2 linked regions of the Macaca mulatta genome follow. The protein of the gene in region 1 purifies or fractionates together with the protein of each later gene. This does not show direct contact. Links are inferred from orthologs where the notes say so. Each region holds a gene or a part of one and is shown in the gene's direction. Other genes may lie near its edges.

Region 1 (3,615 bases):
GTGTTGCCATGGGCACTGAGCGATTATCCTGAATTGGGCTGGAGTTTTCATGTTTTCTCCACTATGCTAGAGGGGAATGCACTCAAGAGCATCTCTTGCCACTCCAATAATGTTGCTTCTAATTGGTTTGGACATAAGGAGACTAGACTGTTATTTTAAGATTTCAGGTAACTTCAAAATAAGCACAATGTCTTAGGGAGTCAGGGAAAGCCCTGTTTAGTCAGTGATCCTGAATTGCTTAAAATAGGGAGTGACCTTACACCTCTAGGAGGAGGAGTAAACTATTCTTTTAGATGAGGCAGAAGAGGAGGAATGGTGGTAGTAACTAGCCCGAGATTGGCCTGTTTTGTTCCTTTGGGGCACATTGAAATCACCTGATGTGTTGTGTTTTGTTTTGTTTTGTTTTGTTTTGTTTTGTGTTGATGAGACAGGATCTCACTCTGTTGTCCAGGCTGGAGTGCAGTGATGCAATTATGGCTCACTGCAGCCTCGACCTCCCAGGCTCAGGTGATCTTCCCACTTCAGCCTCCTGAGTAGCTGGGACTACAGGTGCATGCCTCTACACCTGGCTAATTTTTGTATTTTTTGTGGAGTTGGGGTTTCACCGTGTTGCCCAGGCTGGTCTCTAACTCCTGGGCTCAAGTGATCCGCCTGCCTTGACTTCTCAAAGTGCTGACCATGAGCCACCAATCCCAATCCTGATGTTCTTTTAAAAATAAGTTTGGCCTTAACCCTATATATTCTGATTTAGTAGGGATGGGATGGAACTTGAGCACTGAGATTTTTAAAAACTACCCACATGATTCTAATGTCCAGAAAAGTTGAGGAATCATTATTCTGTTGTTACGACTCCTAACAGATACCTGTCATGATTTTGTCTTGGAGATAGCAGTTCCTTTTCGTTTTTTTCCTGAGCTGGTAAGAAGGGAGGGAAAAATCTGTTCTTGGATCTCAGTACACAGGCAGATAAAGGAAGGGTGCCAGTCTCATGGCCAATATTGTACTGACCATAGTCATTGGAACTCTTGGCTTCTTTTACTGATTCTGGAGAGTGGAACCCTGTTAATGGTAGCAAGCACAGATGACTTGCTTCTTGAGGCAGTTGTGGCCTTCATCAGTCTCAGATCAACTGATGACCCCAAAAATATTGACAAAGTACCAATGAAGCCCACATATCAAAGATAATCCTAGGCCATAAGACAGTACTGCCTAAGAGTGGACACAGCTGGGACGAATCAGGATGGGACAGGTAAGGGATTAGAGAGGCCTGTGGTTGCTTGCTAGGGTATAAACTTAGAGACTGAGGCTGCTGCTAAAGGATTGCAGATTCCTCTGCCCTAAGGAGCGAGCTCTTTGGGAGAATATAAATCATCTCTGGGACTGTTGTGATTCTTATAACTATCTGTTAAACATGCATAATCTCTTGATGTGTTTTGAGAAAATGAAAATAATTATTTGGCCCTCAGCTGATTTAGAGTTTGTGAATAATTAAATTCCCTTTGAGATGAATATATATAGGCCTGATGCCAACCCTCATGTGGTTTGTTCCCTCATTTATCGTTTCAGTAAAAGGCGTCAATTTCTATGGCCCTAAGAGTGAGTTTGTGGTGAGCGGTAGTGACTGTGGGCACATCTTCCTCTGGGAGAAATCATCCTGCCAGATTATTCAGTTCATGGAGGGGGACAAGGGAGGCGTGGTGAGTATGGTATGCTGAGCTGGCTGGCTCCCTAATCTCTCCAGTCATTAAGGTAGGTTTTAGCAGGGACACTGAATTCTGTGACTACATAATACCATGTTTTAGAGGTCCAACCAGCCATAAAAGGCTAGTTAGCCTGGGGGTGCTGAGTTTTTGATGGAGTATTTTCTTCCTGTTCCTATCTTCTGTCCCTGTAAAGCACAGTTTATTGAGACAAGAAAGGGATCTTAGGGAAGAACCTCTGTCCTGTCCTGAGTGATGTAACTTATCTCTAGGCATGCACCTTTTCCAAATGAAAAAGTGTTAGCGTTCAGGGCACACCCTCCTACACAAGGCTAAAGATTTCTCTATGTCTCTTCCCTTTAAACTAAACTAAGTAGTGATCTTGGCTGGATCTTAGATCAGCAGATAAAAACTATAAAGAGCATTTTTTGGACAGTTGGGAAAATTAGAATATGGTTTATACATTAGATAACATGGTATTCAATATTACATTTATTTGATTTGATTACTTATGTAGGAGAATATTCTTGTACTTAAGATATACATGTTGAAGTATTTAGGGGTGAAGTGTCATGCTTACATTCAAATAGGTAACAAACACATATAAATGTGTATATGTAAGGAGAAAGCAAATGTAATTTTTTTCTAGTAGTTGAGCAGTCTGCTTGCTGTATAACCCATGATCATATCATAGTCTGCCTGTCCTTTGAGTTCTGCAGACCTCTGTGGAGTTAGGTCAAAAAGGAAGAGTGAGAATCGAGTTAGGGAATGAAGAGCCATCAGCTCTCTAGATGTATCTGGTTAACCTTATCTTTTTTTTTTTTTTTTTTTTCATTTTTGAGACCTAGAATTAGGAAAGAGTTCAATTGCTTTCTGTTACAAGGTTTTTGGACCACAGGAGATGGAAAGACAGTTTGAAAGACTAAATTATACTGATTGTCTAGAATAGTCTGGTTACCCAAGACCTCTAAGGAATGACTGAGACAGCTTAGTCTCTCTTCCTTTTTATTCCTTCTTAGCTGTGGGGAACTTTACAGAGCCTAGCCATCTCTTGATGAAGTTTTTTTCAGAGAGTGGTTTTAGAATTTAGAATGGTTCCTTGCAATCAGGATCCCATTCCTTATGTTTTTCTTGCCCTGGTATGAGGGTATTTCAAATTTTCTTCTGGTTTCCTCTAAATTTTGGGGACCTGGGACCTGCATAGATCTAGGGTTTTTATGGTTTGAATACAAATGGAGAGGAATCTAGAAGTTCAAGATGTGTCTCACTCTTCCCTGCTTCATTTCCTACTCTTCCATAGGTCCCCCTGTGTCATCTGCAGTGAACAAACCCAAAACACTTGAGTCTTAATGGGAATTATGCAATAGGCATTTAGAGAAAGGAAGTCAGAAGGGGCCAGTGAATTTTTTCTTGACATAAGCTATTGCCTTGCATTCTGTTCCAGAGAGATGCAGGGCTGAATGCCCTCTGCCAGGCCAGCATTTGTCCATTCTCCAAAAGCATTCTGCAGGCCAGTTTGCTTTTAGCTCAGCCAATGCCAGGGTTTGATGATTAACCCATTTGCCCAGGTGAGGAAGGCATTTACTTGGGATGGGTGGGCCCTAGGCCTAAGTTTTAGTGGTCCTAAGAGTAAATAAGTAGAATAAGAGATATAGAGGCTACCCCTGAAGCAAATTTCCTTACATATTCTTGTCTCTGTGTAAGCTGAATGATCGATGTGGTCTTTTACTTGGCTCCCTCTGTTCTGTTTTTGGTCCTAATTTTCCAGCAGTGGGGGTCACCAGGCACTAGTTTCAATGTAGTAGACTCAGCAGTTCTATATCATGCAAATTGTAAATGTAGAGTAGAATGTAATTGTAACGTAGAATGTTAGAACCAAAGATCTTAGAAGTTATTTTCTAACTTGCCCAGATCT
Region 2 (3,615 bases), on another chromosome or scaffold:
TCTTTCTGTTCCTTTTCTTTGATTTCTGAAGGAGAATGTTAGCTTCTTACCCTTTCAATCGATTTCCTCTTTTGTCAGTCGTGTCTATGTATATATGATGAAAACATAAATTGAGCAAGCTCCTGAGGTTTCCAACTTATTGTACATATATCCAGAGCTGTTGTGTTTTTTAAGATAAAGCATTGTTCTTGGTTTTATTATTTGTATAAAAGTTTCCCATTTATTTTATACCTAAATAGTAGATAAGGTTACTACAGGATTAAAGAGTTTGACTCTGAATTAATGGGGCATACACTTTGGGGTAAGGATTTCTTTTTATTCTTATGAAAGTTACAGATCATACTAAAGTAAGTTTTGTATTTCGTGTTTCCCACTTTTAAACCTCTTTTGTTTTTACCACTTTAAAATATTATACATGTACAAACATCTTTAATAGAATGCGGAGCTGCTTTCACCAGCAAACTTGAAGGAATGTTTAAAGACATGGAACTTTCTAAAGACATCATGATTCAGTTCAAACAGGTAAAAGTGAGTTAAACTCTTACTTAATTCCTCGAACTTAGTTATATTTAGTTATCCGCTTGCTGTGATTTGTACTGAAGAGGATAAATAGAAACGTGTTTGTTGTAATTACTTCATGGCAACTGAGGTGATATTCACAGTAGAAAAAAAACCATTGGTGAAATATAAGTATATTTGACCTACTTTAGGATTTATTTTTAACAAACACCCAGAGTAACACAAAAATAAAAATAAAATGTATTGAACTGAAGTCAGTACAAGAAGAGCTATAGTGGGAACAGGGCTTTCCCCAGCGTCTTATCATTTGGTGATTTGCATGTTCAGAGCTTGCAGTGGGGAGAGAGGAGAAGTGATAATGTAGCTGTATAAAGCCTTTGGGGACACTGGGGATAGAAAGCTAGATCCACAGTTTTGAAGATGTAGGTAGAAAGTAGTTTTGAAATGTTTAAGAACATAGGTGATAGTGATGGCAAGTTAGATTTTCCTCTTTTGGGGTTTTAGTAGTGACTTCTTTACCCCACAATGTTGCTAAGGTGGGAAGTGGAAGTGAAAGAATTAAGAAAAAATCAGGGTCAGTAAGATTATGAATTCTATAGTAGCTACCGAATGGGGCTTATCTGCTTTGCCCTTTTCCCCTCTTTTTCCTTCCCTACTCCAGGCCACTCCCTGCAGACAGGCAGTGGAGCAAGCGAAAAACTGGAGACTTGGGCTGGCTGGTGGGGTGAGGAATGGGGATTGCTGCAAGATGTTTAAGCCATGTAGGGGTATTCAAAGGTGGGGACTGCAGGTGGTATTGGGGAAAAGAGTGGAGGAGAGATCCTATAACAGCCCAGCTGTATGTGAGAAATTATTTAAGTTGATAATGCCTGTAATGAGGTCATGTGATCCTTGTATGCCTTTGTATCAAAATGTTAACCTCTGTACTTGCCTAATGCATTTTGTGTAGGCTTCATTTAAAGTCCTCTTAATAATTGCCTTTTATTTTAAGGATGGTCAGTGTTTGCATATAATTTCATAACGGGGAACTTCTTAAATAGGTTATTATGATACGAAATGTATGCAGTTTTAAGATCTCAGTGTGTGTTTTGATCTTACAGTATATGCAGAATCAGAATGTTCCGGGAAATATTGAATTAACTGTGAATATCCTGACAATGGGCTATTGGCCAACATATGTGCCTATGGAAGTTCATTTACCACCAGAGGTAAGAGTTACTGTTTAGAACCTGAGTTATAGGCATAGAAATCATAACATTTCCATTTTGCTTGTCATTTAAAAATAGATACTTAGAAAAAAATAGAGACCCAGGGCCTCGCTGTATTGCTCAGGCTGGTCTTGAACTCTTGGGCTCAAGTGATCCCCCCTGCCTCAACCTTCCAAAGTGCTGGGATTACAGGTGTGAGTCACCAGGCCTGGCATAGATACTTTTAAAAGTGAATGTCAGTAAACACACCAACACCAAATACCAACTGCTTTAATATTTTACTTTTGTACTTCTAAGTCCAGTTAAGAGCCTAGCTAATAATGCCAAAGTTCTGGGTTCAGGATCAATTTCCCTGGCTCTTCTTCCATCTTCACAGATTATACCCCTCATTCTACCTAGTTATTAAGAATTCTTGCACATATTTCATCCATAGGTGGGATTGCTAAATGATGGGTGCTTGATTAAATCTATCCTGACTCCTGGGAAACTGTCTAGCCCAGGACTGAAGTCCATAAAAGGGATTAAGGCTAGACAGCTAGATATTGAGAATCCTCCATGGAGATGGTTATGAAGGCCCAGGGAGTAGATCTGTCTCAAAGAGGAAGAAAAAACAGCAGAGGCAGAACTTTAGAAAAGGCTCACATTTGGCAGATGGTAGAAAGAGGAACCTGTGAAGGAAACCAGTGCAGAAGCAACAGTGAGATAAAGGAACCAGCATAGTATAGAGGCACAAAAGCTGCTGCAGGTCAATGTTTCAAAAGAGTGGATGATTAAATGGTTCAGATAGAGCAAAGGGTATAAATCCTAATAAATCCCATTTGATTTGGTGGTTGGGAGATCATTATTTTTCATCAAAGTGATTGGTGGACCTACTGGATATAGTCTTAAAATTTTCCAGAAATTATATCACATGAGGTAAGTATAAAAAGTGGTAAATGTGGTATTGGGTATAGAGCTTAAATAAAGCCTTATTTTATTTACTTTAGATGGTAAAACTTCAGGAGATTTTCAAGACATTTTACCTAGGCAAACATAGTGGCAGGAAACTTCAGTGGCAGTCAACCCTAGGACACTGTGTGCTTAAAGCAGAATTTAAAGAGGTAAGTGGATGTTCCCAAAACTTTTAGTTTTCATCTTTGTCTTTAATATTTAGGTCATCTTTCTTAACTAAAAGGTTAGGCTATTGTTTTGTGTTTTTTTTTTTTCAGACAGAGTCTCACTCTGTCTCAGGGTGGAGTGCAGTGGCGCTATCTTGGCTCACCGCAACCTCCGCCTCCCAGGTTCAAGTGATTCTCCTGCCTCAGCCTCCCGAGTGGCTGGGACTACAGGCGTGCGCCACCATGCCCAGCTAATTTTTTTATATTTTTAGTAGAGACGGGGTTTCACCATGTTGGCCAGGATGGTCTCTATCTCTTGACCTTGTGATCCACCTGCCTCAGCCTCCCAAAGTGCTGGGATTATAGGCATGAGCCACCGCGTTTGGCCAGTTTAAGCTATTGTTTTATAATTGTATCCTAGATATCCGCATGACGACAGTGAGAGCTTGTCATAGCTTTATGTATTTTTAAGTAATTTTAGCTGTGTGGTCTTTCCACAATTGATTTGGCCCTTTTGCAAAACGAAAAGCAATGAACTTTTCCCCTACTCTTTCCTCACCTGTAGATGAAAACTTTACACTGCCACTTCCTATTTTTATTTATTTATTTACTTTTAGAGACAGGGTCCCACTCTTGTCACCCAGGCAGGAGTACAGTGGCACAATCACAGTTCACTGTAACCTCAAACTTATGGGCTCAAGCTATCTTCCTGCCTCCGCTTCCTAAAGTGCTGGGATTACAGGCATGAGCAACTACACCCAGCCTAACACTGCCACTTCTTGACAGAAATT

What was found.
Region 2: the proteins of DCAF8 (region 1) and CUL4B purify together in Homo sapiens (affinity purification with western blotting; 7 studies listed by BioGRID and IntAct, counting the BioPlex papers as one, with this or other methods). This does not show direct contact. The link is inferred for Macaca mulatta from reciprocal best matches to the Homo sapiens genes DCAF8 and CUL4B.

The regions. Positions count from the first base shown.
Region 1 is NC_133406.1:106,663,494-106,667,108, forward strand, and holds part of DCAF8 (DDB1- and CUL4-associated factor 8), read left to right. Parts: intron 1-1,518; coding exon 1,519-1,697; exon of another isoform or gene 1,698-3,615. UniProt on the Homo sapiens protein: May function as a substrate receptor for CUL4-DDB1 E3 ubiquitin-protein ligase complex.
Region 2 is NC_133426.1:126,934,847-126,938,461, reverse strand, and holds part of CUL4B (cullin-4B), read left to right. Parts: intron 1-436; coding exon 437-528; intron 529-1,619; coding exon 1,620-1,727; intron 1,728-2,713; coding exon 2,714-2,827; intron 2,828-3,615.